Linked DNA regions of Daphnia pulex. The protein of the gene in region 2 interacts with the protein of the main gene of each other region in a pairwise test. Links are inferred from orthologs where the notes say so. Each region holds a gene or a part of one and is shown on either strand. Other genes may lie near its edges. The genes, in order: ubiquitin-conjugating enzyme E2 L3 and potential E3 ubiquitin-protein ligase ariadne-2-like.

Region 1 (14,710 bases), on a different chromosome or scaffold from region 2:
AGTTAAGGGAACAAAAAACCCCCAGTAGGAATAGGGTTTTAAAGTGAAAAGACAGCGGGGGGGTCGTATAGACATAGTAGACTTATATATTGTATATATGCTCATGTATACATAGGAAGAAGGCAAAAACAACACGAAGAGAGAAAAGGGTCTCAACTGTGAGGGTTAAGGTTCCACCATCCATTTTCATCGACTCTGATGGGTTTTTCTTGGGTCCCTTGCAGTCAGACAGACAGAAAAAAAGTGTCAGATTCCCCAGTTTACATAGCGGAGCCAATCATGTTGACTTAAAGAGGTCTGTGTGGGAGGAACACCAATTCGATAAGAAGAAGAAGAAGTGTAGGGAGAGAGAGAAAAATCAGTTGACACAAGCTATGCATAGGGAATAATGCTGTGTGTGTATAAGAGAGACGCGCCGACATAGGCGCCGGTCCGGTCTGCACCAGGATCTTTTCTCCGGCCCTTTGAGTCGCGCTCGAAAAACGCTCAATTGCGCCGCGCGCGATCGTCGGCCGAAAAAAGGAAGGGGGGCGCCATTCCGGCGCCGGAGTTTTCGGCGGAATTTTTTTTTCCTTTCCTTTCTCTGTGTGTGTCGTCTCCGCGTCACCCTCCTCAGTCCCTCTGGTCGGTTTCTTATATTTTTTGACAATGTCCAAAAAAGACACAACAGGGAGAAAAACGGCCGCAGCAGCAGGACAGCGCGCGGTTTTCCGTTTTTTGGTGACAAACAAACAATCAACCACCTCCGCTTCTTCTTCTTTATAAATTCCATCCAGCTGAACTAACAGAACTTCTTCTTCTTCTTTCTCCAACAAAAAAAAAACCAAAGGAATTGACGAGTCGCTTATTATATCATTTATACCGCAACCGAATAGAGTAGGAGGAGGATTCGGTTACATGAAAATGACAAGGCTATTGTGTACGCCCGTGTGTGTGGATTGGTCCCGCCGGGCGGCCGGGCGGGCGGGCGGTGATATAATAATAATGAGAGAGACTTGGCGCGACAGCCGCAAAAATTCGAATCTCACAGCGGTATAATATAACGAACGTGTCGCCTGCTGTCGCTTGGCTCTAATCAATCATCGTTATGCATGTACGTACGTTGGACGACGACGATATCTCTCTCTCTGGTTGTCAACCCAAAAAAAGAAAGAAATAAGAACTCGGATATTCCGATTGAATTGTGTGAGAATCGCAAAGAAAAATTGACGAGGCCATTTCAACATTCTTGGGTCATCTTATTAGAGACGAGCGTATAGCTCGGAGAGCAGTTCACGTATTATAATGCGGATGGATTTGAAGTCTGTGAATGGCGACGGACTAGGATATCTGGAAGAAGAAGAAGAAAAAAGGTTTTTCTTCTTTATTTCCATGTGGCGGCAGCTTCATGTCGAGAAGGGCGGTTCTGCACTTTGACTGATTAGACTCCGAGTTTTGTGGATTTTCACAGTTCTCCTTTCTCTCGAGTGTACGGTACGTGTGTCTTCTATGTACATGTTGATGGTTTTCTCTTGAAACAAAAGAGAAACCCTAGAAGAAGAAGAAACACACAGCCAAAGAAAATGTCTATCTCCTCCTGGAAGAAGAAGAAGAAGAGGAGAAAAACACATAAAGGGTCGCGCGGCCGCCGCCACCGCCTCCTCCCCCGCGTTGGCTCCGGCGACTCCGCGGGTGCTCTCCGTGTGTGTGTGCACGACCTCTCATCCCTATGTCTACTACTAGGCAAATATTAGGGTTAGGCCCCTTGGTCTTTTTTTTTTTAAACAAGACTCGCACTCTGTACATAGTTTTGAAGGGCACACACAACACGTACCAAGAAGAAGAAGAAGAAGAAGAGGCCCTCTTTTGTCTCTCCCCCCCAACCGCGACCGACCCCTCCTTCGTCTAGCTGTTCATCTCTCTCCCACAGCAGAGGGGCCCCTTAATGGGCAGACCCCTCTGATAGACCCCCAATATAAGGTGGCAATGGCTTAATGAGTTTGGCGCCGACTAGACTCTCTTCTATGTCCAGCCGCATGCAGTTATAAGATCGAGAAAAGAGACACCCTTCTCGTTCCATCTCCTTTTGTTTGACAAATCAAGTCGTGCGGATAAGTCGGACCCTTATATTCCTTCTACGGCTCTATATGTGCTCCTTCAACTACAAGTCCGGCTTCCGAGTACATAGAGAGAGAAAACTGGATGGATGGATGGATGTCGCCGTTTCTTGATCATTTGACCGAGAGATCCAGACCGAGATAACCCACCGCCACTTTCCCAGTGATACTGCACAGCAACTAATAACCAAAATGTGCAGAAGAAGAAGAAGGTCAAAAGCAGCTCATTGCTGTCGATACGGATCGAAAAAAAAAACCCTTGTACTAGTATATGCGCACCAGCAGCAATTCACTGTGCACCTTATAATGATGATCTTTATAATGAAGGGCAGTATAACTGGTGTCTACGTTATATTATCAGGATGGTCGATCTCTCGGCTTCAAAACTTCATTTGAGTTCACTTCCGTGTCAATTTCGTCTACAGACTTGACGGTTGTATATTCCCTCATCGCTATATAGTTTGCCCTATCTCGTTGGTTTTTTCAACAAAAATGAAGGCTTAAATATTGTATCACCAGCGCTATATACATGTAAAAGCATTCGGTGGTATATAGCAGTCACATATCTATTTAGATCGTCGTCGCCACACATGTTTAAAAGAGGGCAAATAACCCCTGGACAGAGGCATTGAAGCTTATCGGAATGAAAGAAAAGTGACACATGTGTGTGTGTGTTTTCTTCTGGATCGGTGCCGCCGCTTCCGTCATCAACTGTACACGTCCAACCAACTGGCTCTCGAGTTCCATTTTTTTCGGGCATTTTTTGAAACCGATTCGCGCAAAACCAACGACACTTAATTCGGGGAAATAAAAACCTGCTGCTAGTTTTATCTTTTGGTTGGTTTTATCAAAAAGAGATTACATTCATTGCAGCCTGGCTCACTTATTGTCTTCTTTAAACTATACGATAAATTCTTACAACAAGTTTTCAATTATCATTCGTCGATTAAAAACCAGCGATTGGTTTCGCGTAATTTGTATTTCCTTGTTTTGAGGTGAGAGGGAAATATTTCTTAGTGAAGGGTAGACATTTGAAGATTTAGTGTAGCAATATGTGGATGAGGAGGGCCACAAGAGAACAATGTCCATCTAGTGGCTGGTTTTTTAGTCTAAGAAAAGAAATACACTAGAAATGAGGCATGACAAGGTTTGTATTTGTGTGGGATGAATGCGACGATAACATGGGGGCCATTCAAAGCAGATTTTTCACGATATAAAAACAATGGGACCGCACGTACAGTGTAAAAGACTGGACAACTGAATAGGTTAGCTAAATATGGAAGCAAACAGGGGTCCGCTGTAGACAATTGTAGATTAAAAAGGAAACGTACGGGGTGAACATACATCGAATTCGATCATGCAAAAACCCCCACATAATCAAAATTTCTATTTGCTGGTTTCCGGATCGGCAGCCTTCGCCTCGGAGTCTTGAGATTTAATTTCCAAATTTTTAAATTGCTTGGCCAACTTGTCGCACTCCTTTTTGTGGATAGACCAGTGCAACTTTTGACAATCGCGGTTGCAATATTGCACAGATTTGCATATGGAACACTTGCTGGCTACCTTCTCTTGGCCGCAAGTGGCACAGGCGTCGTCATCTTGAAATCCACGCTGACCGTTGATGCAGGAAGTGAGAAGATTGAGAGCTAGTGGAGTCTCCTCTTTTGTCTTGGACAGATTGACCAGCAACTGGCGGAAGATGGTCGTCTCCTTGAAAGGGAAAGTGCGGATCGACTCGCGGATGAAGTTGTCCATAAACTCGGGAAAACCATCGGATTGACGTTGCTTCAAAAATGCTTTAACATATTGATTTAATAACTCCAAAACGGTTTTGTCGGGGTGCTGCTGCTGCTCTTTGGCCATTCTTTCGACTAGGAAACGCAAATAGTGGTATTTAAGTGCGAGGATCTCGTTGACTTCTTGGCTGCGCTTCATCTGATTTTCGCTAAGTATCTCCAAGACGTTTTTCACTTTTGTGAGGTTATCGTAAAGCAAAGGAAGTTTTTGAATAGTCAACAAAAGGTGAACTGGATGCAGATTGACCTGATAAATCAAACAAAACAAAAAGTTCAAGTGCTTTTCCGTGGCAGAATAAGAAATGAAGTGATGTGTCTATTCAAGTGCACAACCTGCATCACAAATTTGTGCAAAGCTGGTGCAGCAGCTGGTGGCAATTTTGGCTCAGTTTGATCGCTAGGAGCTACAGTGTACTGCTCTATTTCTGAGCGTGGAATGAAATTGTTGATGATGGAAACAACTGTGTGATTCCCTGGTTTGCCAAAATAATTCATTTTAGTTTTGGATGATTTGTACAAACATTATGATTGACTAGCCTACCTACAAATGCAGCCATTTGAGCTGCAGTTCTGCCTACTGAGTTAACCACATCAGGTTTACAACCACACTGAAGTAATTGTTGACAAATATCCAAATTTCCAGACAGAGCTGCAAAATGAAGGGAAGTATACTTGTGTTCATGATGACCTCCATTGGCATCAGCTCCCTTCGAGAAAAAAAGTCAACTTTTCAATCAAATTAACAACATTGATAATATAGTTAGACTTACCAGGTCAAGGAGCAACTGGCAAATATCTTTTTTCCCTTTAAAAGCGGCATGTTGCAGTAATGTCATTCCATGCTCATCCTCATCGTCAATTTCAACGTCCCGGGATTTTATAAGTTCTTGCAAACCACTAGTATCATTGTTGTTAATCTTGTCAATAGCTTTAATAAAGTTTTCCGAAATCATTTTTCGAGATTCTTTGGCAATTAACTCGTTTTTGAAGGAAATCAAATAATTCAGTCACAAATTTTCATATAACGATATAGTTTCCGTTGTCGTCTGCAACTGTTGCTATAACAACCGGACATTTCGAAAAACAAAAAATCCAACAACGCCAAAAATGCGAATAAAACGAAAACTTATTTTTGCTTCGTATGAACCTTTATTTCAGAAAAAAAACTTTTTCATTATTTTTCTTCTTTATATTTTTAGTGGTCTTCATTGAGTTAAAAAGTTTCTTAAACATTCAACGCTGCACGTTCAGCCTTGGTTTCGTTTGTACCACTGTTGTTTTCCCGCCATCGCACTTCGTCGTCTTGTCCGTAAAAACTGCTTAAAAAAATTCAAGCACGTTGACTGAACGAAGTAATCCCCGTTAAAAAAGGTTCCGTAAAATGAACAGAAGAAATCACCCAGCACTAACCAGCGGCGCAATTCCGGTAATATCAATCATAATTTCGAATTTTTGAATAAAACTATAAATATCTTTATTTCGACATAGTCCATCATTGGGAATGGCCTGCACAATGAAACTCCAATTCTACAAGTTTTGGTAAGCAACGAGCAAGATTTTTTCTTCATTTGCAGCATTTTTACATTTTCTTCTCTTACAATAGGGTTACAAAAATCTTCAGGGAGACAATAATGACCGTTACAGAATTCTCATCTCTGATGGAAAGTATTCCTATGCATATGGAATGTTGGCAACACAACTAAATCATCTGATTGTGGATGGTCAGCTTGAGAACTTTACCATCATTAGAGTAAAAAAGTTTGTTGTTAACAAAGTTGCTACTAAGGCAACTGCAGGCAAGGACCAAAAGAAAATTATCATTCTTTTGGATGTTGAGCCAATTGTGCCTGGAAGTGAAGTATGTTCACTTTACTTAGTTTCGAAATACAAATAAGGATATCTCTTCATTTTGAACATTTTTTGTTTAGGTTGGAGAAAAAATAGGAAACCCTCAGACTCTTAATGATGTTGGAGAGGTTACTGAAGAGGCAGCAGCAAAACCTGCACCTTTAGGAAATGTGAACAATTACAATATGGGATCGAAGTCTGCACCACCTAACAAAACTGGTGGATATGGACAGCCAACAGAGAAGTCTGACATTATTACCCATCCGATTGTAAGCCTTACACCCTACCAAAACAAGTATGTTTGTTGAGAAATTTCAGTACAAGAAAAATTGAATCATTAACTTTGCTTGTTTGTAGGTGGACTGTAAAAGTGAGAATTATAAACAAGTCCGATATCCGTACGTGGAGCAATTCTCGAGGTGAAGGAAAGCTTTTCTCGATGGACATGGTGGATGAGACTGGTGAAATCCGTGCCACTGCATTCAATGCCGAGTGTGACAAGTTTTACCACATGATTGAGGTACATTTAATTCAAAAACAGTGTTTGAAGTTATTTATTTACATTGTTATTTTTCGTTGTAGATCGGCAAGATCTTTTACATTTCACAAGCACAACTGAAGGCAGCAAACAAACAGTACAGCAGTATGAGGAACGATTATGAAATGTCGTTCAACCAAAATACTACAGTATGAATGTTTTTCAATCGTCAATCGTACCAGCCTCAATTTTTTTTTCTTTTACTTATTTTTTAGGTAATTCCTTGCCACGATGATACATCAGATATCCCATCAATCTCCTTCAACTTTGTTCCCATTGATCAGCTACCTAGCCTGGACAAGGACAGTGTTATTGGTAAGTTGTCTTTTAGGTGCATTAACATTACAATTCTTCTATTTGAATGGTGCCTACGATATGACCGATTGACCGTGCTTTCAGATGTCATTGGTGTGGTTAAGTCAGCAAATGACGTCCGCGTTATCGTTTCCAAAACGACAAATAAAGAATTGAGGATGCGAGAAGTTCAGATGGTGGACAGTACCAACACAGAGGTATGACTGGATTCTTCGTTTAATTGTCGAGCCCAGTTAATTAATCATTCTTGTCTTCAAACATCAGGTTAATTTGACTTTATGGGGAAAAATGGGCGAGGAATTTGACGCTAGCTCCCAGCCTGTTGTAGCATTAAAAGGAGTGAAACTTTCTGATTTTGGAGGTCGTTCTCTAGGAACAGTCTCGTCTACTGTCGTGCAGGTAAAATCAAATGTAAGACTTTCTATTTCTCTACTATTCTACAGCGCATATTTTTAATAGATCAATCCTGACATGAATGAAGCTCACAAACTAAGAGGGTGGTACGATAACGGTGGCTCATCATCGGCCGCTTCTAGCATTTCGGCGAGTCGTGGCGCTGGCACTGGTGGTAGTGGTGGGTCGTATAAGACTTTCGCTGAAGCAAAATTCGAAAACCTGGGAAAAGATAAACCTGATTTCTACAGTGTTAAGGCTATGGTTGCTATGATCAACAAAGAAAGAGCGTTGTACATGGCTTGTCCCAGTGATGAATGCAACAAAAAGGTAAACATAAATATATAATAAAACAACTCATTTTTGACAATATTTGCGTTTCCCGCAGGTCATCGATCAAAACAATGGCCTCTATCGATGTGAGAAATGCCAGCGCGAATTCCAGGAATTCAAATGGCGCATGATGCTTTCGGTATGACAAAGATATTTTATGAAATCTATTTCTCTCAAAACAGCACTCGAAATTTGTTATAGGTCAATATCGCGGATGCCACGGACCAGCAATGGGTAACCTGCTTCCAAGAAACCGCTGAAACTCTTCTTGGTAATTTTGTTTTCGAACTAATGTTACGTTTAGCATATAATATTTATTTATTTGATTATAAATTTTAGGGAAATCCGCAGACGAGGTCGGTAGATTGAAGGATTCGGATAATAACGAATTTCAGAAAATTTTCGAAGAAGCTACTTTTAAGTGGTATGTCTTCCGCCTGAGAGTGAAAATGGAGACGTACAATGTAAGTCTATGAGCATTATGAATTTCGATCTTGTTATCTGTTGACGCTTTTACCTTTTCTTTAGGATGAAAGCCGCCTCAAAACAAATGTCTATGAAGTGAAGGAAATCAACTATAAAGAGCACAACGAGCGATTGATTCGAGAAATGAAAGAAATGGCTGCATCAGAATGAATGGATTTTCCCTTGCTCCTTATCTATTAAACTTATAAAAAACCTTCATTTTCGGATTATACAGGAACAATTCTTTATGAATTCCTGTTCTTGTGAATCAAATCGAGATCCCGGAAAAACCGTGTGTGTAACATGATAATAAATGATTTGCAAAATAAACATGGATATTACAAAAAATAATTTTTCAGACAACTGCAAATGTATTGTTTTTCGCAGCTCATGTGCAATGAAATATTTCAACCATCAAGAGAGGCAAAGATAGAAATGAAAATAAATGAAGATCACAGTGCAGCTCTCACTGCTCTACAATGAAGTGAAGAGGGAAAGAGGGGGGACCAGTTCAAAATTTTAACTCTGCCTCTTCTCAAGTGTTTATGATGAAAACAGAAAACATTTAATCACTTGGTCTCTTCTCACTGTTTTTTTTTGTAAACTCTTCTGCATTCTTCATGAATTTCTTTTTGTCTTTGGAATACTCTTCAGCAAGATCAGCCCTAAGTGGATGTTCAGGCTCTGGATCATTAACCAAGGCAACCAGCGCTTGTATCACTTGATCAGTTTTGGTGGCAGGCTTCCAGTTTTCAGCACTTATTATGGGCAAACAGACCTGAAAGAAATAAACACACAATAATAAGTATGGCAAAAATTCCAAAAGGCAAATGTTTTTAAGACCTAACAGAAATTGCCAGACAAATAAGATATTTACAAGGTTAACATTGAAATTTTTACCTGTCCCTTTTCATCAATATTTGGATGATAGATTTTTGTCTTGAACGCAATTTTTGGTGGTTTGAATGGATACTCAGCAGGGAAATTTATTTCAATCCGAAAAGCTCCTTTATTGTAGGGAGCATTTTCCTATGAAAAATATATGATGGCTTGTAACCAAGGTAATTCAATCAATATTCATCTAAAAAATTCAGACTCACAGGAACAATAAGTCCATGCCAAGTCAAAATGTTTTGTTCATCAACTTGAATGTCGCGAAAAGATTTCAACCCAGACTTCTTGATGTCTTCCAATTCCTTTGACCACACAGAGAATACATTAAATGTTTATACAGATGAATTATTATCACTACAGATTATGAATTTGTGATGCAATATAGATAACTTTCAACTCACCTTGTGAAGTCTTCTAGTTGCCGCCATTTCAATTTAATCAATCAATCAATTACTGAAATATTACTCTACTTAGCGATTTATTGAAATTATTTACTACTAATATCTGAAGTTACTTCCACAAAAGAGCTGCTGTGAACGGCTGCTTGCCTGCTTGCAAACTTGTGTTGGCCTCGTAGATTTCAAGGCCATACACAAAGCACGTAAGTTAAAGTACCGCATACAGAGCCATCTTAAGTGAAAAAATGTTTCCTGAAATACGATTTTTTCAAAATTGGAATAACCAAACAAAAGCGCATGCGCGTAATATTTTGCTGTGCACAGTTCAGACTTCAGAGTAAGGTAAAAAAAAATCTTGTCTTTCTGTCATTTAAATAAAGAGCCGTAATAACAACATCAAATAAAGAGATAAAAATGCGAAAAATTAATCTTTTGGCAAAAATTCGGAAGCACTATTTGCAACATAAATTTTGCAATACGCGAAGTACATTTGTTTTTATATTTAGGTCACAAATTAAAGCTGCTGTTTGTCTGCCTGATCTAGTCCAAGAGCTTTTTTTTATTTGATTACTTATTGTGTACGTAGGTTATCCTATGGTGGTGACTAGTCATTTAGTCGATCTTCGAAAATAACGATAAGCGAATTCATGATATACAGTTCAACCCGCAATCATACGCATATAAGGGAATCATTGTCGTTTCGGAAACGGCGGTGTTTCTTAACTTGAAATCTATAATTTTGTGGCTGAACTATTAACAGATGTGGCTAAAGTGAAATAAAGTGGCAAGAGTCGTAGTTATTGCGGGAAGAAAAACAAATGTCACGTCCGTATGTGTACGTGTCACAAATGTGATGAGGTTTGACTTTTTGGAAACTAAAAATCTGGGTGAACGAAGATACGGTATCTTTCTTATTGTGCTAGCGGTGCTAGATTCTGTGAAATTTTACGGGATTCTTAAGAGATTCCGAATCAAAGTTTCACCCAAATTTCGCTACTAGGGGCATCACTGGAATGTGCGAAGATTTAGAATTTTTCAGATTCTACGAGATGCTACAAGATCCTGAATCAAAGGTTCGCCAAATTTGGCTAGGGCCTAGGGGTGCCAATAAAAAAATGCGGTTTGCGCCTGCTAACGGTGAGAAAAAGGTAAATTTTGTTAAATTCTAGAGATTATGTGAAATTCTCCCAGATTTCGAAGATTCTGAGAGTTGCCAATCTGGCAATCGCTCGGGGCCTCGGCCGAATTTAAAATGCATTCTAAAAATCAAAATTCATCGTGCAAAAAATTTAAATTAATTTATTCTTATTTAGATAAGACTAAGCACGTTTAAAAAGTGTTGCCTTCGGTATTTTCAATAAAATTAATTCGGGATTTTTGTAGTATTTACATTTTGTGCCTTTGGGCTTTGGACTCATCATCGTCTGTTCAGGTCTGTCAAAGAACAGCCGGCAATCCAAACGACAACATTTCGAATTAAATTGCATAAAATTGTTTTTCTAGGAAATAAAATAAAAAATAACGTAGTAAGTAATATTTTTATAAATCTCTATTTCACAAGTGACGTGGCTGCAATTGAATAAAATATATTTTTAAGAGAACAAATTATAATCTGGCATTGCAGCCGCAATGATCGACAACGTAAAAAAATCGATTTATATTATAGCGAGAAAAACTAAGAAAAGAAAAACCCGGTGTGTCGTCTTTTCACGATACTTTCTATCCTATCAACGGTAATTTACGAGGTATTTTATCATTACTGGATTATGTGTCGCAGCGTGATCGAGTCATTGTCATAACTAGACTCTTGTGTCGAATTCAATTACATCTAAAGATTGAGGTGTGAAGCAAAACAAGAAAGGCTTATGCTGTCGACTCCTTCACATGTGCGTTGGCCATCAACGACCTTGCTCGTCCTCCAGATAGTGTTTCACTAATATTTGTTTCATTAATAGCTGTTGATTAGCTGAAAATTCCATATTAACATTCCATTCAAGTAGTCTTAAAAGTGAGTTGAAGTTTTGTTTGACGAGAATTTTTCCATTCAAACTTCATTTCATTCTAGTACACATCACATGTCAGTGTTTTTGTACTATTTAAGTATATTCTTTAACTGACAGCTTCAATTTACGACATCATATTATTCTGTAGATTGTTATTTTATCTTGTAGTTGAGATCGCTACACCTGAGACTTATTTGTGTGTGGTGCTAAAGCCATGTGTCTCCTACAAGCATTCATTCACTGTTAGTCCTTTAAGCTGTAACACATCAAATCAAAAAATTGTCTTAGGCATTGACGATTGTTTCACAAATTTGTGTTTGGCTCTTGTTGGAGAACAGGTGCATCCGTGACGGGGGGCTAAGAGAACTCTCCAAGCCCAGGCTTGTGGCAGGCGCTTTTATTTTATTTTTTGTTTGCCTTTTTTTTGTTGTTGGCCATCTCCCGCCTGCGACGGCCAGGCTTTTGGGCGTGAGAGAGAAAATCTTAACAAACACAAAGAAAGGCTAACCATACTGCAAGAAAATGGCATCAGCTACTGGATCTGATCACACTCCATCGTCCAGCCCCAACCCTGGTAGTTCCTGTGATGATTCGTCGCGGACCAATTTGATCATCAACTACCTGCCTCAGAATCTGACGGAGAGCGAACTCTTTAAGATGTTTGTCACTATTGGAACGGTGACGAACTGCAAAATTATGAGAGATTTTCGGGTAACTATAATCAATTTCATAAATTGGACTTATCATCTGATATCTTTTGAACAAAATGAATGTTATTCCAATTATAGACTGGATACAGCTACGGATTCGGTTTCGTCAACTATCAAAAAGCTGATGATGCTATCCGGGCTATTCAAACTTTGAATGGGCTTCAAATTCAAAATAAACGTATCAAAGTATCGTATGCCCGACCACCTGGCGAAGACCGAAAGGAAACCAATCTATATGTTACTAATCTCCCTAGGTAATGAGAATTTTGGGTACACAACTTTATATGTCAAAACTACATCTCCTTTTTCCCCAAAGCAGAGATGTTACAGAAGATGAATTGACAAATATATTTTCTGCCCATGGAAATATAGTGCAAATGAATTTACTCAAAGACAAAATAACTGGTATGCCCAGGGGTGTGGCATTTGTCAGGTATAAATTTATTTTCACCTTTTTTTAATCATGTATGATGTTAAAATCAAATTGTTTTCAGGTTTGATAAGAGAGAAGAAGCCATGGCTGCCATTGAGCATCTGAATGGTACAATCCCACATGGACGTACTAACCCCATTAGTGTAAAAATTGCTGAAGAGCACGGCAAACAGAAGGCAGCTTATTTTGCTGGATGGGAAGCTGGAAGACAGCAAGCGCGACGTAAGTGCATCGACATTTTCTTTAAATATATATTTTAATTGCCTTGAACGGATCACATGAGCTGCCATGAGAGACGAAGCAAAATCCTGCAACTGATACATGTTGTAACTTAAAACGCGTGTCTATTGTAATGCATCCAAGTCTCGTTGGCCAAGAAACCAAACCACCCTTCCGTTTAAATAATCTGCTAGAAACGGAATATTAGTTTGCTACTACAAGTTTTCTTCAGGAACTTGTCTTAATAATTCCAAATATCTGTCTTAGCAGTTGGTAATGTTGGAGGACAACCCCAAGGTGGGATGGTTAACCATGGTGGACATGGGGGTGGTCATGGTGGCCGAAGCGGAGGAGGTGGACACTACAACGCCGGTCTGCCGTTAGCATCGCGGCCGCCGAATGCTCCTGGTTTCGTCCACTCGTCAGGCATGGGACAAGTTCGACCGGATAAAGGGTCTAATAGCAGCCGTTACAATCCCATCGGAATGGGTGGCGGCTACAACGTTTACAATTGGAACTAAGCAATGAGAGGGCACGATAAGATGACGGAAGATTTAAAAAAGAACTGAAACTAAATTGAACTACCGACTGCAGACGAATGAAAAAACATTGTTGCAACGCCATCAGTTGGAGGAACATGATGTTTTTCCCAATTCTGCTTGTTATCAATCTTAACTGACCTAATTACTCCCCTTCCTTCCTCCACTTCTCCATCATGCACCTCTTTTTCTCATATTTTTTCTTCGGTCGTCATTTGGCTAAAATGGTTGGATTTTCGCTCGTTAGGGTTTATGTCTGACTCGAGTTTTTCGTACACTTCTGTGTTCCCCATCATGATTTCTTTTCTTTTTCTGCATCATTTATAATCTGAACCCTTCTTGCCTGCAAGATTTCCTGAACGCGTGTATTACCCTCTCGATTCACTTCATTCTTCTTCTCACGGTCAATCTTGGCCGTTTTCATTGCTTTCTAGTGGCTCCAGAAGATCGTTTATCATATTTTGACTCCCACAAGGTCCAGTTTAGTTTCATGTTATCTGGTTGGTGATTTTGTTTTTTTTTCTCTCTTGCTCTCTTACTCCCTTTTGTCTACGTCTGTCTCCATGGCCCGCCCTTACACTGTATCCTTCTCCCCCCCTTCCATATCCCAATCGTTTGTGACTGCAATCATTTGCCAAAGCGTTGATTACACTTCACCAGTTACAACGATCACGAGAAATGGGAGAATCATCCTTTTCAATGCTGCACGCCGTGGTTATAAGAAATTTGTAGTTTATTTTTCATTAAGGGTATTCAACGTTGTTTAGGAATTGGGTAGATACTCGAAAGGCTTCCAGCATTCTCTACTTATTGTTTAATGCTCCTTTGTTCTCAACGTTTTTGGTTCAGATTAAAAACCCTATGACACCGCTTGTTCTATTACACATGTTCGTGTAATACCGATAATACTGAAGTAACGATAGGGGTGGAGGAAAGGGAACAACTCAACGTTTATCCACATGATGTTATTTATCAAATTTGGTCTGCTGCTCTTTATTTTAACAGGTAGTAGGTAAATTACTGCTAGTAAATACTCAAAGAAATGCGTGTATGGGATAAGAATTCGTCGCTTATAAATTTCAATTCTGCTTCATGCTGGCGATGGCGGACATAAATGATTTTATAGTTGATCCGTATACTAAAGAGTTCTACAGTCATTTACTAATTTTAACTCATTAAAAATACGTTCTTTGCCACTGGTAATGAGCTTAACCAAATAACCATCATCTTGTAAATTACCTGATCATGATTCATGAGTCATGTGACTGACTAGTCGGAATCGGAAGGTATTTTCTAGCAGACGACGAGAAGAAAGTTTGAAATTGACGTCTGAGACTTGAGTAGACTCTTGTTCATCACTTTCAGTGAATAGACATGAGCAGTACTGTAATAGAAAATTTTTACGGTGTTTATCTACTTTTCTGTGAGAATCCAAAGTATTTGGGACGTACTTACATTGGATACACTGTAAACCCGAACCGTAGAATACAACAACACAACAAAGGAGTACGCTCTGGAGGTGCATACAAAACATCTAATAAAGGGCCATGGTATTTGTTGTTTTTGTTGTTAAATTGTAAAATAATCATAATATGTTTATCAGATTAAATTACTGACCATTTTCTTTTTCAGGGAAATGTGCTTGATAGTTCATGGTTTCCCAAATGACATTTCAGGACTCAGAGTAAGTAAGCTTTCAAAACATCTTCGATTGCTGCACATCAAATAAT
Region 2 (15,930 bases):
GCCTGGTTTGAAAAACAACAAAATACTTCCCCATCTATTAAGTGTTTCATATTTACTCTGCTCCCCCCTCCCCCACACACAATCGAACTTGGAAAAAACAATTGAAATACATGTTTGTTTTATTGTTACTCTTTTGCATCTTGGGAAGTACAAAGGATGCATGAATTCTATGATGTACAAAACATTTCGCTGAATCCGTAGATCGCACGTGGGTTGTTTTGTCGTTTTTATTTGAAAATAAATCGGTCAAGAGCATAGTTGAATGTAACTTCTATCTGAGATGATTCAATCATGTAAAAAATTTGTCAAATGTTGAACACAATCCACAAGAAAAGTATTACATTAACAATATTAAGACAACTTTGTATAAGATACTATATACAACGATGGAAATATAAAGGTTTCGTGGCACACATTGGTGAATCTTTTTCTTTGTTTTAAATTATTATAATAGTTAAGTGTTTTGTTTGATTGCGATTTGAGGGAATACAAAAGGAGTGCGTGGGCTGTGGGGGGTTATCTGTGGCTCTGGAGACGGGCAAAGGCGCTGGTGACTTGCACTTTAATTGGATCGGGAATGTCGTTGAATTTGGAGAAGAGCCCGTGCAGAAACTGGATCTCTTTTGACAGCTGCTCTACACGTCTCTCAAGTCTCTCCTTATCGGCCGACAGGACCGTGACACGTTGAGCCACTATGCGTGACTCGGCTTTGGCCTTCTCGCGGGATTTCTTCACGGCGATGTTGTTGAGAGTCCTTCGTCGTTTGTATTCGTCGCTATCTTTGCTGACGTTCTTGCCGCCCGATTTGAACCGACGACTTGTCGAGGCCGAGCTGCTCGTGGTCGAACGTCCGGCAGGGCTGGAAACGGCAGTGCCGTAAGGGCTGGGCATCATTGCCGACGTGTAGTCACTGGCGTCGGTCAAAGTGCTAGGTAGACAACGGCTGTCTTCATCCTCTTGCAAATGAGCTATCTCGCGTTTCACCATCGGCTGCGGCTGATAAGAGCCGGAATGCGATAAGTAATCGGCGACGCTTCCGATGTTTGAGTCTATCATTGCCTGCTTCAACACGGAAAATAAAACAAATGACACGATAAGTATGGCGTTCGTGAAATAATTGTTGGTGATTCTATGCGACAATACCTCGAGATCCATAGAAGTTTCCGCAACCTCCAGAGTTTCTGGATAATAATCGTAATGATCGGCAAATGGGATGATTTCGCCACTCATTGGCGGATGATCGTAGTCCAATAGGTGACCCTCAAGTTTCCCGCTGGTGGTGATGTCGAAGAATTCGGAATCAAAAAAAGACATACCGCGAACGGCTTTTGGTTTGTTGGGTGAATTGGTATACAGACGGGGGCTAAACTTTCACTGTGTAACAACAACTTGTGCGTTCGAGAATGATCTTTGGATTTGCACTGATCACCTCGACTTGTGTGTACGTGTCTGCTCTTGGCGGAGTCGCTAGAAAGAATGATGAAATCATGAAACGCACTGCGCTATTATACCGAGGGCCCGGGGACTGGAAACGCAATTTGGCTCCGCCCCTCCGGACGTGGTGCAATCGTCGAATGACTCGGCATGGCGGCGGTTGGTACGGCGTATAGTGACGTCACTGCTCCGGGGAAATCCCTAATAAGAAAATAAAAAAGCTGGGGAAAACCAAAGTCAACCATACTTCTACTACTCCCAGTTGGAACTAGTTTGAGGCGGAATGCTGGAAAAAACACTGACTCGTCAGCAAAAATGCAAATCAACGAGGGGCAAAGTGAAATTTTCTCTGCTGGCCGTGGAGGTCATTTGAATAAATACACACGCACAAAAAGTAGTGATGTCAATGTAATGTCATCCACTTCGTGTGCAAGCGATAAGCCCCGATTCTGGACGTCAACGTGACTAATGCTTGCCGATAACGCGTGCATATCAACCGACGACCCTGATTTCGTCTCCTCGTTTCCTTTTTAATTAACGAAATATTATCGAAATTTTGTCAAGGATCCGTCTCAAGTAGAATCGTGCGCACATGTGCATGAAGGCATCAAGTCTATCTTGGAAAAATAACCTATGTCGTGGTTGTTTTTTAATTTGTTTTCTGTGGAAAAGGGTGATTCACGTGTTGAGAACAAACACACAAAAAAAAAACAAGAGTTGACCGATTTGTGGTTTCTTTTTTATATTTTCCCGTCCGGGTTTCGTGACGTCAAACGAGAACTCGCTGACGTCATAGAACGCAGGTTTCTAGAAAATCTACGCACATGCGCAGGCAGGATGACGTCGGCCAATCACAAACCAGTTTCGGCGGAAATGGGCGGAGTCATTCGCATCGGAATGTTATCGTTCAACAGAAAAAAGCAGACCGAAAGCAAACAAAATAATATAAAGTCTAATCCTCATAAGTCATTTTAACCGTCGTCGCTTTGTTATAATATGCGCAGCTGAATTCGGTTGAAAGATAATAACGACTACGACGTCCTACTAAAAAACATCGACATTTTTTTGTTGGTGGTTTGATATCTGTTGCTATATGCTTGCATGTCGACTTGGTTGATCAAAACCGGTTCAAACTGCTTGGGAAAACCGAAAATACAGCAAGTCCGGGCAAGTTCTGAAACAATAACCCGTTCGAATCAAGAAAAATTACCATATTCCACTGGGACTTTCTAATAGTGTCAATTTTATATTTTTAAAATTTAAAATAGGGAGATTTGATTATTCGATTTCATTTCAATCTTTCGTTTTTTTTATTTAAAAAAATGAGTTTGCATCAATGAGAACACACGTGTTTGAAATACTCGCATGAAATGGAGCAAAGCGAGATGGGTTATCAAACAAAGAATTTTATGAAGGTTAAAAATAAGAAAATAAACGTTCAGTGACTCGAATCGGAATCTTCGGATAGGGCACTGCTTTGCCCAGCCACTCTACACTGGTGCAAAATAGCCTCTTCGAAAGCTTTCTTGACGGCCTTACGTTCCGTCTGCTTCTTGGATTCAATCAGTTTCGCTTTATCACGATCAGGATCCACTCCAAGTGGCTCCAACTTATCTCTGGGCAACCATTGCCTGTAATCAACAACAAATTCAGCCATTATCACAATTGCGTCTGGTGTAAAGAATTAAGCTGTGGCAAATAAAACTAACGAATACTAACCAAGTCCGTTTGGCATCGAAGAATAAAACCAGAAAGGCTGGTGGTTGAACTCCAGCTCCCATTAAGAGAACTTCTTCGGGTGGTATGGCGATGGGGACTCCATTATGTACATAACCACTCCTGGGCCAGGAAGGATCGACAATCTAATGGAAAATGTAGACCTCGAATTAGAACTAATTCAGTACCAAATCCTAGAAATACGTTTTTACCAGAGCTGGATACCAGGGATAACCTCGACACTTCGCCCAAACGAGATCAAGTGGCTGTAGTGGAATCAAATTACAAGGCAAAAGTGAAGTAGAACTATGCTGATGTCGAGGAGGAGATGCTGAACTATCGTCACTTGACTGGCGATCAGATTCATCGCCAGAATCCGAATCACTACTGCTACTGCTTCCACTGCTGCTCCCTTCACTCCCAGACGATTCACTCGATCCTCGATGTGAATCCTCTTCGTCGTCTAATCTGTTGGTGCGATAAACTTTGAAACTTTCACTCTCAATGTTGGGAAGGTGAATAGCTCCAGGCTGCTGAACCGAAGCAAATAGCTTGTCACTTTCTGGATGCTTTTGCTTCTTCCTTTTGTTTAGATCCGTAGCTGCAACTGCAGCTGCCACAAATAAATTGGTGGATGCACTGGTGTTGGTGCCACTGGGTCCTGGTTGAGAAGTACTATTTTCTGAAACTTTTCGCGGCCTTCCACCTGCCCGTCTAGGTGGCGAAGTGCTTCCGGATGGTTCAGGCTTCTTGAAAGCCGCTGCGGCAGCTGCTTTCTTGGTGAAAAGCACCGCTGTTCGTCTATTGACACCCGATGGAGACCCAGTCAGCTGTTGCGGATTCACGGAGCTGATTTTTACTGGAGTTACTGGAACTGGAGGAACGATCGTCTCCAATTCCGGCGTTACTGGCACTGCTGCTACTGGAATTGCCGCAACGGCAACAGGGGTCGATGCGATAGATGTAGATGCCGGAGTAGAATTACGTTTCAGGACTTTAGCAACTAATCGATTCTTATTTGTAATGGATGGCGTGCTCTTTTCATCCGAATCCGTTTTGGGCGTTCGGGTGATAAAGTGATCAATCTTTAGTTGACGGGCGGCCGCTACGGATCGAGGCGAAGCCTTGACTGGAGGACCAGCAATACTAGAATCGCTGCTGCTTTTACTGCTACTGCTGCTGCTGCTGCTGCTACTCCCGCTGCTACTACTTCCGCTCGAATCCGAGTCACTGCTGCCTTCATCACGTGTTTCATTTTCAGGTCGTGATTTCGATGGACTGCTACTGCTGCTCCGGGTAGCAGCCGCTCTCCCGCCAGCTTGCAAAGACAATTTCCTACGAACTTTGGCCAATTCGTTTCTCAAAATTCGGATTCGTTTAACTTTGAGGGGTCCAGTTGGCATTTGTTGAGCTTTACGCAGGAATTCTTCGAGTTTCGAAAGCTGCTGTTCAAGGGTATCAGATTCACGATACTTTTCCGAGACGTACTTATCGATTTCTTCGACTTTGCTTTCAGGTTGACTTATTTCCGACGGTGGCAGTGGAGTTAAGTTGCTGCTACTGTCGCAATTGTTGTTGCTGATGACTAATGTTTCCAAATCCTTTCGAAGTTGTTTAAATAGAACCTGAGCACCTTCTTTGAGCTTGATTGCTTGCTTATAATACATGGTGTGCTGTGCATTATAGACAGTGCAATTGTGGATCATCAGGTTGAAATCTTTTTCGAAAGCTTCCAGCGTTGGATATTGCCCAGCGTCCAACTTGTTCTGCATTGTCGAAAAGTCCATCGGTTGTTGTATAAAATCGAGATAGTCGGGGACTTGGCTGATGTCAACCGGATCGGCAAAAATGTCGTTGTTATCACGCTCCTTCAGAGTTTGTAACAAACGTCGCATTAGATACTGCAACGGATAGATTTGGAGTTCCAATTCCTTCTCTTTAATCCGCATCAATTCTCGCTTCGTTTTCTCTCTTTTGCGAATCAACTCGCATAACAGCCGAGCTCGTTCCAAATCCTGACGAAGTCGTTGAAAATAACGCAGTTGGCCTAAGAGATCGTCAGGCTGAACAATCTGATCACCGCCCAATCCTGATCCAGACCCAGAGCCCGTTGCCGCTGAAGATGCTGGCCTACGCGAAGGATGGCTTGTTTGAAGACGACGTAAAAGAGGCACACCATTCCTGGACTGCCGTTTCAGAGTCCAGTAGGCAATCAATCTTTGGATAAATCTAGATCAAACAATATCATTAGTACAGAAATTTATTTTGCGGTAGGACAATAATATAAATACCGAATTTTCCCTTGAATTTGGGGAACGGAAGAAGCGATTTCCTGGACGCGTTCAGGAGGTATAGTGGGGATGGAAATAATAGGAGCTGCAGAACGTTTCTCTGCCAGGATTTTACGAGCCTTTCGCATTTTCTCGCGGAAAGCAGCTTTCGACTGCGCTTTGCGAATAACCTCACCTATTCCGTGATCACCGACCAATGGCTTTGAATCAGAATCGGCTGGTGTGTGAGCATCGCAGTAGGCCGCTTTACGGATGCTGATATTGGGTCCACTGCTTGGTGAGTCTTTGGCCGTGTCAATTTTCATGTGTAACCCAGCCTGTTAGAAGAGTTCAAGTAAGTATTTTGATAAATATGCTTTAATTACAGTCGTAACAATACCTGCTGCGCACAAGTGACATGGAACGCCGTGTAACAGTTGGCCCTATGACACTGAATGCAAGATCCAGCTCCTCGTTGCTTACAAATGTAACACGTCAATTTCCAACGAGCGGCAGGAATGTTTTGTATGCTGTCGATCGGTTCAAGGAAAACCTGAATAATAATAATAATAAAATGCTTAGTAATCTCTGCAATGATATGAGAAGATTGAACGTTATTACTGTATTAGCAAAGCAGACTTCTGGTATCCACAGAGCGCAAACTACATGAGCCCATCGGTTATCATCCGTTTGTTTGAAAGCACCTCCTCGATTTGGACACAAAGCACAATCAACCGCTCGTGAAGGTGACTGTAGACATCGACGACAAAGCCATTGGCCCTCAGGAATATACGGGACACCATAGCATTCTTGGTGGACAGCGAGATTACACATGTCACAGAAGAGGATCACATTGCTGTTTTGGCATTCTCCATCCATGCATATGCAACATTCAGCGTCCTCATCGATAGGTGGTCCTAGTTAGATATTTTTTCTCAAATTAGACATCTTTATTTTGCAGACTTAATAAAGAAAAATAGAAATAAAAACCTTGATCTTTCCCAGAACTTTGCATTTGAAAGTAAGACTCTTTTTCCAGTCGATCCATTAGCAATTCAAATGATTCTGGGTTTACTTCAGAAAGGTTTTCAAATCTTCTTTGTTTGTTTATCAACTCTAGCCAAGTAAAATCATCTTCGTCCATATCAAATTCCACTTCATCTTCCATTTCATCAGGAGATTTCTCAATGAAGCGATAGTAAGACTTTGGTCTTTCTGGGGCATCTGGCTGGCTCCATGTTTCGATGATGGAAAATGATGCCTCCGGCAGCTTAGGAGGGGAGACTTTTTCTTCTTTGCGAACCACTGGTTCAACTGGCTTCGGGGTCTTTTTCTGCAGATGTTTTGGAGTGTGACTTTTACTTGTTGGAGTTTTGGCATAGTCTTGGCTTGGTGTTTCTTCATTTTTCATAGGCACTTCATTCTCATAGTCCTCTTTGCCCACAAAGCTTATGGAGTCAAAAATGTTTATCCTTTGAAGTTTGCTATCAATTTCAAGTTCAACAATCTTCTGGGCTTCTGCAAAAGTCAAAACCTGCTGTGGTGATTCTGATGAAGGTAAAGAACTACCAGGATTTTCATGATTGAAATTAAACAAGTGGAATTGAATGCCCGCGAAACTTTTGTAGATTTTGCCGCAGTCTTTCGCGGGGCATTCATACGGCGGTTTAGTTGCTCTGATGTGGTTAAGAAACTCACGAATGTCAAAGTCGAGACCCATTTTATTACAATACAATAACAAGTATGTTATATTGTTTCACACACTGTTTTTTCTCTATTTCAAGAAACCAATTATATTAAACAAAGTTTTACATTTAGTCCATTTTTGTTGTCGTTTTTCAGACCACGCACTAAATGACAACTGGCCAGACACCTGGCGCCAACGTTTTACAACTCGTTACAGAAGTGTTTTTGAAAAGAAACCCCTTAGGCACTTAAATTATGGAAGATAAAAAAAAAAATTTCAAAATTTATGGGGCTGAATAATTTTTTTTAATAAACAAGGGTAACGGAGTATCCAGCACCTTATTTAATAAAAAATTGCTCAGACAATATAAGAAAAAGGGAAATAGTAAACGTTTCAGTGATGCAATTTATTCATTTGTTACTATGGGAATACGAAACAAAACTAAAAAGAAAATTTCGCAGTAAAAAAAAACGAAAAACAAAAAACGTTGAGGACAACTGATAAACGTATAGGACGAAAAATATCAAATGACAATAGACAATCGCAATTTCGATTCCTATCTAAAGCGACAGGTAAAAGCCAAAAACCTATCGACCGTAGTTACAGGCGCGTTGGTAAAAATTTTCAAATCCTATTCAATCCATTTGCTAACCAGCAAATATTTCACGACTCTAGGAAATCTTGCAATAGCGTGGTGCGCCGTTTCTCGCAAACGTCCATTTGAATGCCCAGATCGCCTCTATCGGTCGTTTCGGCCCGTTCCACTTTCCACGATAGATTTTCTATTTCGGCTTCCAACTGAGCCTGTTGGTACTCGAACTAACATAAACAGACGTGGGAACGTTAATATTGGTAAAAAGGCATTAACGTTTTCCGAATCACTCACCAATTCCTTTCGAGGACCTGCATCCATGTAGTAAGCGTAAGGGTAAGTATACTGAAGAGTATACCTACAGCGTGCCAACAAGGCGGCAGCATCCAATAAACACTGCCAATCAATCCAAGTACCATCTGTGCCGGTCATGACTTTACACTGAATACGCTCACGGATCCGTTGCAATGTTTGCTCCTCCAATCGTAAACTCTTTGCATGATTCTCCCACTAAAAAATATTCGAAAATAGCAATAAAAGTACAAAGTTTTGATCGGCCAATTTCTAGTAACTTACTCTTTCAAAGTAATGGAGATATTTTTTCAAGGCTTCTTTGGCCCGAGCGTGAGAAGACTCATTGGCTACGTTGGGATTTTCCTCATAGCGTGAACAACGGTAATATTCTGATCCGTGAGTCTTCCAATCACCCAGACACATCCAGCAAAAGTCATGTTTACAGCCATAACATTGCATGTGGTTACATCCTCCATTCTTTTCTATACAAATTTGGCACTTGGGACACACCTAGTAACAAGCAGATGGACCGTTAAGAGCATTATTTTCGTTTAAATGAAAATTTGAGTTATCCTTACCTTAGTATGAGCAGAGATGTAGTTGGCAGTTTCGCTATCATCTGCACATTTGGTCAGCCAATGTCGAATCGTTTCACAATCGGTGGGAGCGTGATATTCGCTTCCACATCGAAAACTAAAATATAAGAAGCTCTTTCATATAACGAAATGGAGAAAGTTTCTAAAATAAAATTACCAGAATGTCGTCTTGCATGAGCTGCAAACTATCCGCTTGCCTTTGTTTTCTTTGGCCCGTATAATTATGTTACAATTCGGACCCGGACAGAATCTCAGTTCAGGATGGGATCTGACATAGTCGGAGAAGGCATGGCGAACATAACGTTCCTTTAGTTGAGGCGTGGCTAATAAAGGCAAGACAAAGTCTTCTGTTGCCATAACAGAACATCCCATGCATTCAGTTGCTATTCACACAGGAACAAAAAGGTTAGAATTGTTCAATATAACATTGATTAACAAATTTATACCTGTAGACACACCATGCATGACCTGAGTTTCAAGATAAGCATTCCAACATCCCTTGCAAAAGAGGTGGCTGCAACCAATTCCACAAAAGACATCTTTGGGTAGCATAATAATGCAAATGGGACAAACTAGAGTTTTGGATAAGGTTTTCACCACAGGAGTTTTATCTGGTTTAAGTTTAGATTGAACTAGAAGTTGAGAAGAATCTTCCAGATACATTTTAATGACTGAGTCTAAAGCCCAGTTATGAGCATGTAGAAGCAGTTTTGAAAGAGACGGTGTCAACCTCAGCCGACTGCTTAAAGTTTCAACCAGTTCATTCAATAACCTATCCACCTATAATTTAAAAAAACAAACAGTTGATTTCTCCAATTTCATTGCATGTATAAATTTGTTACACTGACCTGATCAACCGTTAGACATTCAAATTCAAAATGTTCAGGATCACACTTCTTTTGGTTCATCGATTCACTGTCGGCATCATCACAAGGATTGTAGTAATCATCATAACCACATTCTTCTGTTTCAGAATATTCCACATCAGAATCATTATCATTATTTGACATGATGAACTAGAAAAAAGAAAAAAACAAAATACTGAGTCAATAGAGAGTTAATGGATACCACACATGAAAATGCAGTCCTGGCAATTGCTTAGTGCTTACCGATTCAAGCCACCGACGTCGACATTAAGAGAATCACTATTTCGAAGATGGAATGGTTGTAAATGGACGTCAATCAAACCCAAGGACGGCCTGGTTCGCCAATATTTTTAAAGCTTTTCCATGAATTTGTGTTTAATTACAATTAGCTACCCCACGAACACAGCTTCTGGCCTTCTTCAGTTCTCCTTCTGTAAATCCGTATTTTACCTACAGCGCTTCGAACGGGAGAAAGTTACACTAAAGGGTAAATACGAAAAAAACAATAATTTGTTAATTAAAATGAACAAAAATGCTTCTGTAAATTATTTATCTAAAAATCTCAATTTTTGGGGGTTTTCATCTGACGGTGTTTAGAAAGAAATTGTGAAGAAATCCGAAATCTATTTTATGTTTCTTTTATCCATCAAGAGATGGAGATGGATTCTACTTGATTGCGGTTTGAAAAACTTATCGAAAGGGTTCTCGAATAAGTTTTGAATGAAAAAAACATCTTACATAATTTTTGTGATGAAAGTCATGATGTTTTAGGTAAGTCGTTTTATTGTCTCACTATTTTAATCGTTATTAAATTTCAATAATCATAATAAATCTTGTAAATTTAGGAAAAAATCAGAGGCTCCAGATTGTTGATATCTTGATAATGGTTGATAACTATGCCAAAGGTTGCAGAAACTTTTAAAATTTAGGAAAACAAAAATTAATACAAAATTTTTTTTCAAGAAACATAATTTTTCGATACGCAAAGTGAATTACTTTGTAGGGATCATAGCATAGGCATTGATTATTTAAGTCTGTAGGGCTAAACACAGCTAGGTTATGATCCATAGCAACAATTTTCTGAAACACACCCGCAACGTGAACATATTTTTTTACCAAATAGCAAAAATTATGTATATTTCCCTGGATATGGGGCTCTTCGGGATCTGTTTTATTTAGCCGATTTATCTGGCAACGCAGCATGGCGCCAGTCTTTTTTGAGGGAAGAACGGGGAGAAGAGGGAGAATGGGACGAATGGGGGAGAAGAGGAAACGTGGGTCCCCTTTTTTTTCGTACGCCCTCCTCCCTCCCACTCGTCCCATTCTCCCTCTTCTCCCCGTTCTTCCCTCAAAAAAGACTGGCGCCATGCTGCGTTGCCAGATAAATCGGCTAAATAAAACAGATCCCGAAGAGCCCCATATCGAGGGTATCAATTTAAGGGGGTCTTTAAATGGAAGAATATATTTTTTTTATGTGATCATGCCCTGAAAAGTTGCCATAAACAGAATAGCTGATGATCTTTTGATTAGGACCTCTTCTATCAGCAGAGGAGTAACTACAAGTTGATTTAAATGGACCTAGTAGGCGTATTAGAAAGTGACGTTCTTGAGGAATGGGCGTGTAAAAAACAAAAATACGCAAAAATAACCATCACAGTCACAAACGAAATAACATTATAATTGACAGTTTACGTAAAACAAAACCATTTTTAAACTGGCTGTGCAAAATGCAAGGAAAAATGCTCATGTTAGCATGTTATGCCTTCGCATAAAGTTAATGTTATACATTCCGGAGCGGAACGTTTTCGGCTATATGCCAGAACATGAGTTTCACGTTGACTGATTACTAAAAGATTCTTTTACACTAGCGACAGCACGGCGGTTTTAAAGTGCAAAGTACAAAGGAATTGTGGCATGGTCCCATAAAGGGCGAAATCTTTATAAAGCACGTAAATTTTACACGTTGCGCTCCGTTACGCCGCGCGTTCTCGAAGTTGCTTTAACACATTACTTATAGTCACTTATAGTACAGGAGAGGAAAGAACTGATTGGACAATATAAGACTCCCCTCCCGACAATAGGTGAAGTGCCTCTTCACCCTTTCACTCTCAACTTAATGCCTCCCCTTGTCCATAGATAAAATTCGGATGAAATTCGATAAAATTCTAGGGAGACGAGATACTGTTACCTATAATTATATTACATAGTAATTTATATTAGCTGTATATTTTCCTGGATATCCACAAGAATGTGAGTATAAAGGGTTTTGAATTGCAAATCGGGTCTCCGGTATTGAAGATTGGAAAGCCCATCAGTTTCGAAACGAAGTGATCCTTCCTGCTGTATATCTTCTTCCTATCTGGATTGGGTTCGGCTTTTTTGTGGGAAAGCGTCTTGTATCGTGCACGATGGACGAGCGATGGCTGGTCGTCGAAAATTCTGGTCACTGTCAAGTTATTAAATAAGATACGTTCATACAACTGATCGTCCTCACCACCCAAGACCCAGAACAAATTTGAATAGACGTTGATTTGTTGAAAATCATGGATCGAAATTGCGCTGACTCTACCGAAAAAGTATCTGGGAACTGGCCTGTAATTATGTTAAATTGAAGAACAGTATACCGGTACATGCTATTAATTATACAAATATAATGCGGAGTATTTAATATATCTGTAATTATACCAATAGTCGATTGAAAAAGCCATTTGCCGTGGTTTCCCATCTTCTGAACATGAGTTAAGAACATAAAGATGTCTGTCATCCTCCGGTAGATAATCAATCGTTAATCAACGTAATGAAATATGAAACATGGATACTTATCCTGTAATAATAGAGCCTCAGTAAAGCCAATGTTTAACAGCATTCCTCGATTGAACGATGAACCATCTGTTCGTTATAGAGGAAATGCAAAATCAGCAACAAGCAACAGAATCGTGAATAGTGTAAAATTTTTGTGGATAACCTAACTAGATTGCTCTACGACTATGATGGTGTAGCTTTTAGTTGCTGTCCTGGAGAAACGGTTGCAAGTGGCGAAGAAATATAGGCAAATGTTCTGATCTGTCACGGAATGGAATACAACAACAGCAACTTTCTATTTTGATTGGCATTCGCAAAAAATGCTTTCGATTGGTCGAAATGAATGCACTCCGCAACGTCCTCATGCTGCCCCTGCTGGGACCCCTGAGCCTATTGGGCAGCATGCGGAGTGGATTCAATCCGACCATGCTTGATACAAATTACAAATGATACACAATCGTCAGTCGTCACGTGATCGTCGTCTGTTTCGTTTCGCGCGTTTCGTGTGAACACATGCAACGTTAGCTTCGACCGGCCCTGATGCCCCTGAAGTAGCGTTTTAAACTAAACCGTTCTTTTCAATCTAACAATTGAAGAAAAATTGTTCTTGCTGTTGACTTTCACTCGAATCGAATTTTTATATTATTTCACGATGGAGAGCAGAGATGAAGAAGTGCAACCACAGCTCCTTTCAGATGATCAAGTTATTGTGGCTTCTTGTGATAGTTCAAGAGTTACTATCATCAATGAAGGAACACCTTTACATTCGGCAGAAAATGGCTTGTGGGAAATCTTCTACATAAACATTTCAGAGGAAGACATGGTATCTGATCATCCAGCAAATACTGATGATACTGTTATTCCAAAGGCAGATGAGGAACAAATAGCTATTACTGATGGTTATCTGGAAGGAATAGTGTCGTTTGAATACTTCATGACAAGAGTAGAAAACTCAGATGGTTCCGAGTCTGGCATGGAAGACTCATCTGATACAGATTATGAAGAAGAAGTGCTGGAAAGAAACTCAAATGACCCAGAATATTTTCCTGAAGAATCTTCCAACCCAGTGAAAAAGAGAAAATGCACACCAGTTACAAAAAGACTTCCACCACATTTACAAGGTAACCAAATATTCTTTTTTTGTTAAATATGTGTTTACAATAATGGCCTGCAAATTTGAATTTTTCCAATACGAAGGTCTCATGGGTGAAGCAAACTTGAGATATGCAAGGGGTGAGAATGAAGATGCCATCAACCTCTGCAAGGAAATAATTAGACAGGTAAATTCATTATAAAATTGTGGGTGTTTTGCTAATATAATTGTTTTTCATTCACTTATATTTTTAGGCCCCAAGTTATGCTGAACCTTTTCAATTTCTAAGCATGTGCTATAAGGACCAGAGAGATGATGAAATGTCATACCAGTTATCTTTAATAGCTGCATATTTATCTCCTCAATCTCCCCAACAGGCCAATGAATGGTTACAATTAGCCCAGGTAAAATATTTTAGATCTATAAAGCAGCTTTTTTTTATGAAAATCAAATTCGTCGGAATGCAGATATCTTCTACTTCAATACTAAAATTGTTCGCTCTATTTCAGGTGTGTTTGAAGCGAAGAGATGAGATACAGGCAAAGAAATGCCTTGCCAAAGCTGTTCAAGCAGACCCTACAAATCTTCAAATTCATGAACGGTAACGTACAAAGAATATAATTTAAATACTATTTCTGATGTGTTTTATTCTGTGTGTTTCAGTCGATGCCAGGTGTTGGAATCAATTGGTGCTGAAAAAGAGCAGTTGAAAGCTCGCCTGACTATGTTGCGAGGTGTCCAACCGGAAAATGAACAAAAGAAAAATGAATGGGTCGAGCTTGCTGAAAAAATTGCCAGGATTTACATTGAGAGTGGCAACTTGCATTCAGCGCGTAGGGCGCTCAGTAATGCTCTTGTCACCTGCGCAGATAATTTCAAAATGAATCATTTTAACCTTTTATTGGAACTCCAGATCTTGACGAAACATTATCTCGATGTCATAAAAGTTCGGTGAACTCTTTCAACCGTTACCTATTCACTGAAATAATGAATTCAATTTAATTGCACTTACAGACTCTTAATAGACATTGCGGGTTGGTGTTTAACAATAACATAATCGACGAAATTGATCTCGAAGAAACGGAATCTATGGAACTGACGGAAGAACTGCCAATAGGCATTCTCAGCAAGCTCTGCATTGCCTTGGTTTACTTTAACAAACAAGAATTTGCATTTCCTTTGATCGAAACTTTTATGGAGCATGACGTCGAAAGTTTTGGGGGTATCCACCTCGACGTTGCCGAGGCCCTAGTAGAAAAAGAATTCCATCAACAAGCTTTGTAAGAGAAATCCAAAAGTAATTATTTTGCAACCTTTAAATTGTCATATTTCTTTTTTCATAACAGGACATTGCTAGAGATCCTAACAAAAAGTAAATCCTTTTCTCAAGCTGAAGTTTGGCTGAAATATGCAAACTGTCTCAATGCTCTCAATCGGTCAGACGAAGCAATCGTGGCATTCCGACATGTTATTCATCTAGTGCCATCAAGGGAGGATGCTAAAATATCTCTAGCAGAATTGTTCACCAAATTAGGTAACTACCTTAAGACAACTTATATCGTTTTCCAGTCTAATCGTTTCCGTGTTAACAGGTCGACGAAGAAGCTTTGGAAGCTGTAACGCAAGACTCGGAAGCTACTCGGATTGAAGCCAGCGTTTTGCATCACAAGTGCCTCTTGCTTTTGAAAGAAGGAAAAATGAATCAGTTCGTTGCGGCTTACAAATTGCTGATGATGCGTGACGCCTCGAATATTCAATCCAAGGACGAAGTGAACAAAGCGTGCGGCGCCAAAAAAGTAGGGTGGGAGTCGGCGGATGAAGATTCGGACGTGGAAGAATTGGACTTTGGAGCATCGTCGATCGAGTTAGAAGAAGAATATCGACTCCTCCGGCTAACGTGTGAATACCTGTTCAAGGAGAAACGTCTGGTGGAGTTGGAGAGAATCTGTTTTACGGCTCTTACGTCACCGCTTTTCAGAAGCAAGAGAGAAATTTGCAGAGAAATTCAGTTCATCACCCTTCAAGTGTGTTTAGCTAAAGGCGACTCGTATTATGCTTATAACCTAGCCCGTGGTTTGCTCTTACGTAACAACCTGGATAACAAAAGAGCTTTGAACCTCATGATTCAGGTGAAAATACTTACCTTATCTTTACCATCGTTCGTTATAATTGGTTCGACGTTTTCGTTTCAACAGGTTATCATGCGAGGGGACGATGTGCGCTACAATCGTTTTCTTGTGCGGCTACTTCGGAAACACCCCAAACATGTCTGTCTTAAGTGTTTTGAACGGTCACACGTGTTTAGCCAGCGGTACATACAAGCGCGCCTTAGGTAAGATGGCAAAGCAAAATTTTGATTTATTAAATTTAATCGTTCTTAATTTTGCATAGATGCTTATATGTCGGCGTGCAAAATTGATCCCGACAATCCGTTGTTTTTGCTGCTTTCTGCAATTGTCCTGGTTCAGTTGACATGTCAAAAGTTTTCTAGCGGGAAGCATTCGCTTGTTACTCAAGCTTGTTCCTTCTTCGATGCTTATCTGAAATCAAGAGGGGACTGTCAAGAGGTTTACTACAACA

The links.
Region 1: the proteins of potential E3 ubiquitin-protein ligase ariadne-2-like (region 2) and ubiquitin-conjugating enzyme E2 L3 interact in a two-hybrid assay, tested with the Drosophila melanogaster proteins (2 studies listed by BioGRID). The link is inferred for Daphnia pulex from reciprocal best matches to the Drosophila melanogaster genes ari-2 and Ubc10.

What each region holds. Positions count from the first base shown.
Region 1 is NC_060017.1:3,012,845-3,027,554, reverse strand, and holds ubiquitin-conjugating enzyme E2 L3, read right to left. Parts: upstream 9,282-14,710; 5' UTR 9,107-9,281; coding exon 9,080-9,106; intron 8,981-9,079; coding exon 8,885-8,980; intron 8,814-8,884; coding exon 8,685-8,813; intron 8,563-8,684; coding exon 8,350-8,562; 3' UTR 8,133-8,349; downstream 1-8,132. Other genes in the region: ankyrin repeat and MYND domain-containing protein 2-like, read right to left, coding at 3,483-4,139, 4,226-4,365, 4,434-4,599, 4,663-4,845; replication protein A 70 kDa DNA-binding subunit-like, read left to right, coding at 5,274-5,318, 5,381-5,431, 5,496-5,750, 5,821-6,035, 6,098-6,260, 6,323-6,427, 6,494-6,593, 6,678-6,790 and 6 more; sex-lethal homolog, read left to right, coding at 11,602-11,790, 11,868-12,043, 12,109-12,222, 12,284-12,444, 12,709-12,962; structure-specific endonuclease subunit slx1-like, read left to right, coding at 14,355-14,530, 14,613-14,664.
Region 2 is NC_060023.1:7,785,684-7,801,613, reverse strand, and holds potential E3 ubiquitin-protein ligase ariadne-2-like, read right to left. Parts: upstream 9,908-15,930; 5' UTR 9,699-9,907; intron 9,606-9,698; 5' UTR 9,600-9,605; coding exon 9,438-9,599; intron 9,370-9,437; coding exon 9,036-9,369; intron 8,973-9,035; coding exon 8,747-8,972; intron 8,687-8,746; coding exon 8,572-8,686; intron 8,504-8,571; coding exon 8,276-8,503; intron 8,210-8,275; coding exon 7,994-8,209; intron 7,927-7,993; coding exon 7,771-7,926; 3' UTR 7,493-7,770; downstream 1-7,492. Other genes in the region: CCAAT/enhancer-binding protein beta-like, read right to left, coding at 517-1,062, 1,144-1,314; bromodomain-containing protein 1-like, read right to left, coding at 2,873-3,065, 3,154-3,296, 3,363-5,379, 5,442-5,758, 5,821-5,973, 6,042-6,337, 6,411-7,140; general transcription factor 3C polypeptide 3-like, read left to right, coding at 12,910-13,378, 13,455-13,537, 13,605-13,754, 13,860-13,951, 14,014-14,296, 14,365-14,630, 14,697-14,884, 14,943-14,998.